2 linked regions of the Macaca fascicularis genome follow. The protein of the gene in region 2 interacts with the protein of the main gene of each other region in a biochemical or structural test. Links are inferred from orthologs where the notes say so. Each region holds a gene or a part of one and is shown on either strand. Other genes may lie near its edges.

What was found.
Region 1: the proteins of PARD3 (region 2) and JAM2 form a complex in vitro, tested with the Homo sapiens proteins (2 studies listed by BioGRID and IntAct, with this or other methods). The link is inferred for Macaca fascicularis from reciprocal best matches to the Homo sapiens genes PARD3 and JAM2.

Annotation. Positions count from the first base shown.
Region 1 is NC_088377.1:21,348,841-21,352,660, forward strand, and holds part of JAM2 (junctional adhesion molecule B), read right to left. Parts: intron 3,088-3,820; coding exon 2,980-3,087; intron 1-2,979. UniProt on the Homo sapiens protein: Junctional adhesion protein that mediates heterotypic cell-cell interactions with its cognate receptor JAM3 to regulate different cellular processes. Plays a role in homing and mobilization of hematopoietic stem and progenitor cells within the bone marrow.
Region 2 is NC_088383.1:34,860,942-34,864,761, forward strand, and holds the end of PARD3 (partitioning defective 3 homolog), read right to left. Parts: intron 2,094-3,820; coding exon 1,700-2,093; 3' UTR 96-1,699; downstream 1-95. UniProt on the Homo sapiens protein: Adapter protein involved in asymmetrical cell division and cell polarization processes. Seems to play a central role in the formation of epithelial tight junctions. Targets the phosphatase PTEN to cell junctions.

The sequences.
Region 1 (3,820 bases), on a different chromosome or scaffold from region 2:
TTTCTAATATTTAACTGACCTTTTTCTAATTTAACAAATATAAAAATTGCATGTTTTCAGAACTACAAAATTCAGTAGTTATACAAGGTGAATTAAGATAGTAAAGCTGGTCATAATAATGTTCATTCATGCATGTTTTTATTTTATTATATTAAGACATAATTATAAAAATAGGTAAAATTTAGTGAAAGCATTCCTATTTATTCTAGCTTAGGTGGTCTTGCCCATGTCAGTGGATTGTCTTGCACTGGCCACTGCATCAGGTACTCAGACAGTCATATGGCCCATAGATTTTTGTCAACCAGATTTGGCAATACAACTCTGACCTGTCAGTCCATATGCCAGATCAAGCATATTGTCAGTGATTGTGTCTAACCTCTCAAATATGTGCTTTTCAAAAATGAGGTGACAGAGCAAGCCAAGGCTCCCTGCTAGGCAACAAACCCATCAATATCTACGTTATTTTCAACCACAACATCTAGCAGAGAGTTATCCACGTTTCCTTTGTTTGTGAATGTTTCACTGTTGGTTTATAAAGTGGACTGTTATTTTATCTTCCGAGCTGCTCTGGGCCTTCACTGACATGTTTGATTTCTGGCTGACCCCAGTGCTCCCACCCCGTCTCCAAGTGCCCAGCTCCCTGGCAGGCTGTCACCTCCAGCGTGGGCCCTCTGAGGAACAGCTGCCAGCAGGCCTGGCCCCGGAGGCCCTTCCATATTATGTATATAAATTTTATTTTTTGAGACAGAGTCTTGCTCTGTTGCCCAGGCTGGAGTGCAGTGGCATGATCTTGGCTCACTGCAAGCCATTCTCATGCCTCGGCCTCCCAGGCATCTGGGATTACAGATGTGCACCACCATGCTGGCTAATTTTTGTATTTTTAGTAGAGATGGGGTTTCACCATGTTGGCCAGGCTGGTCTCGAACTCCTGGCCTCAAGTGATCCGCATGCCTCGGCCTCCCAAAGTGCTGGGATTACAGACATGAGCCACTGTGCCCAGCCCCATGTTATATTTTAAAGAATTCAGTTCAAATGCTTGCCTCATTCCCTTTCTAGTTCCCTTGTAAAAATATTCATGTCTTCAGAAAACCAGGGAGTCTGGTTTAATTGGCTGGAACAGTAACTTTATGTGTGGTGGCCCACGTAACACTGCGGCACAAGAAAAGGTGGTTAAAAACATTATTTTATTTTTTGATAGTAACATATTCAGAATTAAAATAGTGTTTTGCACCCGGTGTGGTGGCTTGTACCTGTAGTCCCAGCTGAGGTAGGAGCATCACTTGAGGACAGAAGTTTGAGGCCAGCCTTGGCAACATGGCCAGATCTCATCTCTTTAAAAAATGTAAAAATTAGGCAGGTGCAGTGGCTCAAATAGTTTTGCATAACGTGCACATGCCAGAAATGGCAACTACAGAAAATTCAAGTGAAGACAGCTGTGCTATTAACATCTTACAGCTAGTAGTCTTTATCTTGACATATAAGAACTCGAGGGGATATTTTAAATTTTCTACAAACTTCAAACATTTTCACTTAATTCTTTAACATTAAAGAAATACATAGTATTTTAAAATAATAACAGGTTTATTACACTTGTAAAATTGTATTTCCAGCTTTAGAAATATTTATAATGGAAAGATTCAAGCATACACAACATTAGAAAGTAGAGTGAATTGTACCTCAATGTATCATTGACCAGCTATAATAGTAATCAATGCAGGGTTTATCTTGTTTCATCTGTATCATTAACCACTGGTTTATTTTGAAGCAAATGGAAATTTGCTTCATCCATCATTATCAATGTCTTAAATTATAAGTTCATCACATATTCAATGGCAAGAGTTGGTAGTAGAAAGAAATGTATAACAAAAGAAAGAAAAGAAAAGAAAGTACTTGATAATGGTTGTTGTCACAACCCACTCTTAAGTCTTAACTCCCTAAGCTTCTCAGTGGTGGCCTGCCTTTCAAGATGGACTTAAGGAAATAGGTTGACAGCATTATGACTGAGAAGCAACCTTCCACTTCCAAACCACACAATTTTTTAATTCCTTTCTCTCAGGAGCCAGGCAAGTGGCTCACACCTGTGATTTCAGTATTTTTGGAGACTGAGGCAGGAGGATGGTTTGAGCCCAGGAGTTCAAGACCAGCCTGGGCAACATAGGGAGACCTCACCTCATCTCTACAAAAAAAAAATTAAATTAGCTGAGCATACTTGTGTGCACCTGTAGTTCCAGCTTCTTGGGGACTGAGATGGGAGGATAACTTGAGCTCCAGAGGTGGAGACTGCAGTGAGCCATGATCATACCACTGTACTCTGGGCTGGGCAAGAGAACAAGACCTTGAAAAAAGAAAGGAAAGAAAGGAAGAAAGGAAGAAAAAGAAGAAAGGAAAGAAAGGAAGAAAAAGAAGAAAGGAAAGAAAGAAAGAAAGAAGAAAAGAAAAAGAAAAAGAAAGAAAGGGAAAGAGAGAAAGAAAGAAAGAGAGAGAGAAGAAAGGAAAGGAAGGGAAGAAAGAAAGAAAAGAAACGAAAAAAGAAAAGAAGGAAGGAAGGAAAAGAAAAGAAAGAAAGGAAAGGAAGGGAAGAAAGAAAGAAGGAAAAGAAAGAAAGAAAGAAGGAAATAAGGAAAGAAAGAAGGAAAGAAAGAAAGAAAGAAAGAAAGAAAGAAAGAAAGAAAGAAAGAAAGAAAGAAAGAAAGAGAAAGAGAGTTTAATCTACAGAGCCAATAAGAGCAATTGCATTTTGCATCCTTTATGCCTGAATTGAGAAAGAAGAGTCCAGGGATTCAGTGGGCTTCACCTCCCTCTGTTCTCTGCTTTTGTGGCTATTGTGTTTTATGTCTCAGACGTGGTTGCTTTCATCTCACACTTACAAAAACACGTTTTCAGTAATCAGTCATGTCCTGATCTCATTTGTCAATTAAAGGATCCTGGTTGTACTTGGCATTCTCTTGCTCACACCTCTTCAAGCCTCCAGCTTCTTACCTTGAAGAGTCTGTTGATAGTAGACAAAGGAGACACTCCGACCCAGTTTCTTCCACTCTAATCTGGAGGAAACAGTCTTCTTTGGGGTTTTACAGGCTAAAATAGCCTCTAGGAACAACAATAAAAATACTTGTTTTTCTAATTGTCTCCATGAATTTATATTTTACTTAACTGAGTAACAACATTTTAAACATATTTAAATTACTCCTTTATAGTTTTATTCATTCATTCATTCATAAATTACTTCAACGGGTCCCATGTTGGCTCAATGCAGAGATGAATTGGAAGCCTTCTAGCTCTTCCACATAATAACTGCGTGACACTATGCTTATTTCCCTGGTTATCAAGTTTGAGTTTTCACCGGTAAAATGGGCTAGTATTTCACAAAGTTGTTGTGAGTCTTCAAATGCAATAAGATACGCAAAGCACACAGACTTGGACATAGTAAGGACTTAACAAATGGCAGCTATGATTAATTACGTATCTTATTATTCTCAGTCTCAGTCTTGAAGGAGTCTACCATCTGGTAGAAGAAGAAACTAAGATAATGGCATTTCAGCTCAGTGTTGCTGAATACCAGCTATGTAAATGGTGATTCATGCTTAGTACCCAAGAAAGGCACTTAATCCAGCCCAGGACATGCTGGGAAACCAGAAAAGTTTCAGCAACATGCTATATTCTCACTCAGATCCCTTCTTTGTCGACCTGCTCTACAAATACATTAATACATATCCAACATGGTCTCCTAATAAATCATTGATTTTTACCCCCAAACAACTGCCTATATAACCTTGCCTCAGTCCAGATAATTATTAAAATTTAAATCTTGGCATCAACTGTG
Region 2 (3,820 bases):
TCTAAATATATTTTTAAAAAATCACATCTGTTAATATACCTTTTAAAAAACCCCAGCTAGGCAAGGTTGCCCAGGAACATCAGAGACACCAAAAGAACAGGAAGAAATATGCCTTTTATTAGGAGTCGCGTATGTACAGAGAAAGCTGTTTCTCACAGCTCAGGGGAGGCTGTGAGAAAGAGCCACTGTCATCCAAGGTCACTGCGCGTACACTGCTAACACCACTTAGACACGGCTGCACATTATTAAGAAAGAGAACCATGACACAGAAGTGTAGAAGAGACACAGGTATGTGTGTGGACACATCATTTCTAAAAACAAGTCAACACAAAAATACAATGTGCCAATAAAAAAAAATAGGCATATCCATACATGTCTTTTTTTCTGTTTTTAAAGTGAATACATGGTATACTGAGCTTTCACCTCCAGCTTTTTCCACCTCGGAATTCACAGGCACTTTGGCAACCCAGCCACGTTTACAATACAGGATGTTCAGAACGATGAAGGACGATGGGAGCCACCGAGGTCCCCGAGACCCACACACACACTCAAACACTGACGCGAGAGTGAGCTTCCTGCCACCGCCGCTGTGGGACCCGAAAATGTTCTCTGTGTGATGTGTAACGGCTTTTCCTTTGTCTTTCATGTTTCATGGCAGAATTACTTAGGAGCGTGGCATCGCCAGTCAGATATGCAGCGTGTGGATGCATTAGACAAGCATCAATTGCCTCTGACTTGAAAAACCGTAGAGAGCAGATCAAAATGACCGTCTGGTTTATCTCTGTCCCATTCTGTGCCCTTCCTGACAAGCTGTCAGAACGAAAACTAATGAAAATAATTACTGGGATGTACTGGGCCATGAGCTCTTCCTAGGAGAATTTATTTCTTAGCTCTCCCCTCCTGATAGACACATGGCCAATGGCATGCCCAGCTTCCCCCGGCAGGAGCCACTCCCGTCTCCCACGTTCCCCACACACAGCTGTGGTGGCTCAACCCACGCGTCAGGAACAGGACCGAACAAGCCTATGTATAAACGCAGACTAGGATCATCGCTTTATTGGTAATGTTGAGTTATAAGGCAGTTACAAAAGGACCCCCATGGTAACCAAACAATGTTGGACTATGGCTTAGCTTTGCAATAGGGTGACCGACTCTCCCGTCACAAGGAGCTGAGAAAGGAAAGAGAAAACCACACTGATGACAAAGTATGACAAACGGCTGTGCTGTGAAGTACCAGAAAGCCCCATTTTTTGGTGTATGTCGCCCACTTTTCCTCCTCCAGAGACTGAGATGTCATCTCACAGCTCAGAGAACTGAGAGGGAGAAACAGGGCCGCGCGTCATCCTCCGCGTCAGGTGAATTTGTCTCGCACGTGGTGCAGGGACGCTATAACCAAGCCGCGGACAGCGCATGAGTCGGGCCGAGACTCCCGGCACTGTGGAGAGGCGCACAGCATGTGAACGCCTCGAACAGATGATTGTCACAGGGTGGGAAATCCTTCCATGAAACAGACATTTGAGACATCGTGGCAAAGACATTAAGGCCTTCCATTTCTTTGCCTATACCGCTTAAAGGCACTGATACCAACAACAGAAATACTCCATAGTACCATCGAGGTTTTAAAAAAACTCCCAAAATACAAGTCTTCATAGGAAAATGTCTTTTATTGCGTGACATGAAGCATCCGTTCTTTGCGCGCTCAGGAGTAGAAGGGCCTCCCTTTCTCAGGAGTCTGAAGTCTGTTCAGCCTCGCAACCTGAGAAGGGGAGGGCGGCACATCTTGCCGGAAGGGCCCCTTGGGAGGGGCGTAACTAGGGTCCTGGACTTTCTTATACGAGTCATAGTTGCTCGGCCCCTCGGAAGGAGGCTGCTTCTTCATCTGCTGCTCCTTCCGCCTCTGTTCCTGGCGAAGGAGCTCCTGAGTTTCCAGCATGACCCTGGCGTTGAAGCCGTGTCCTCCCAGGTAGCCGTTCCTGGAGCCTTGGTAGCTGGAGTACCTGGGGTTCTCTTTGGCACTCTGGAAGCCTTCCCCGGGGGAGTAGTTCTGCTCCCAAGAGTCCTGGGAGACCGAGCTGGCGTTTTTCCTGCTTTGCCTAGAAAGCAAAACCAAAGGTTAGTGTGAGGGTGGGAAGAAGGAGGGAGAGGGAGGAAAGGGGGCAGGATGGGATGGAATATGCATTTTCAGGTTTCAATAAATATTCCTGTTCTCTCATCACATGCCAGACACTGTGATAGGGGCGGCTGGAGAATTCAAAAGTGACTGTCCTCAGCAAGCGCATGGTCTTAGACAACTAAACTAACAATGAGTAAACAGGAGAGAGAACTAGACTGTGCAGCTACTTAAAAAGAGAGTCGGCCGGGCGCGGTGGCTCAAGCCTGTAATCCCAGCACTTTGGGAGGCCGAGGAGGGCGGATCACAAGGTCAGGAGATCGAGACCACAGTGAAACCCCGTCTCTACTAAAAATACAAAAAATTAGCCGGGCGCGGTGGCGGGCGCCTGTAGTCCCAGCTACTCAGGAGGCTGAGGCAGGAGAATGGCGGGAACCCGGGAGGCGGAGCTTGCAGTGAGCCGAGATCGCGCCACTGCACTCCAGCCTGGGCAACAGCGTAAGACTCTGTCTCAAAAAAAAAAAAAAAAAAAGAGAGTCATCTTCCTGTGTCTGAGCAGGTTGTGTCTGTTCCGCTTAGGGTGCCAATATCTCCTGCAATTTAGACACACTGGCAAAGCAGAGAAGTAGTAGAGGTTTGGTAGCTTCCATGGTAGGAATAACTGCTCGCTTTAGAACATTACAATTCAATTCTAAACAAGCACAGCAAATATTTTACACAGCTGCCACCATAATGCCAGAAGCGCTAGCTAATATGAAGGACATGTAATGGATTACAATGTGGGTTTGGTTATGAAAGATTTAAGTCTAGACTTCTTTATGATAAAAAATGCAACAGGCAGTCCCTTAAAGCTCTGGCTTTTGAGTTGTGTGTGTCAGCAACTTACACTCTCCGGGATACCTGCTCATCGAGACTGGAGGGAGAGTCCGGAAGTCTGTAGAGTAAGCCCTATTTTCTTAAACATTTACCTTCACCAAAGGCCAGGGTAACCCACTTAACTTGCTTTCTGTCGCCCCAGGATAGGGAAGTAAATCAGAGTCATATGGAAATTTCAAATTCTTACCACTTCTGCAACAGGGTTGCGCATGATTTCCAGGAAACATTGTTGTTTTGAAACATCTTTAATTTACTATCAAGTCTCTAGATGGTTTTATGAATTTACAGTAAGATTGGCTATGATGAAGTAAAACAGTTCTGTGCCAGAAAGGAAGACATGCCCTAATTTTTTTGCCTTGAAAATGGAAGAGGGGAAGAGACAATTGAGTAATAAAACAAAATATATTGCTCCACTTATCAATAAGAAAATCATTTGGCGACAGTATGTATTGCTCAGCCCTTTCCATCAACATACACAACACGGCTGAACGTTCACAAAGACACTCATGGAAGGAAAAGAAGGTCCGGGAAGCCACTGCATCTCCCGCAGGAATGATGCAATTTGCATTTTTGAACATTCAGAATTGCATCAATATGGTTTGGAGGGAAATCCACCCATTTTCCGTATGGCCTAAAATGTAGTCGGAAACATTTTCAGTAAGGAAAATGACCGTAATGTCCAGCATCGCCTCTGGCTATGACGATGACTGCATGAGCATTCCATAGCATGTCTGTCTGGGTCTCTTTTGAGGGAAGACTGAACCATTTGTACAGTCAGCCCAGGTAAGAATCCTTAGATGTGATGGAATAGTTTATTTGCCTAAAGCACTGATT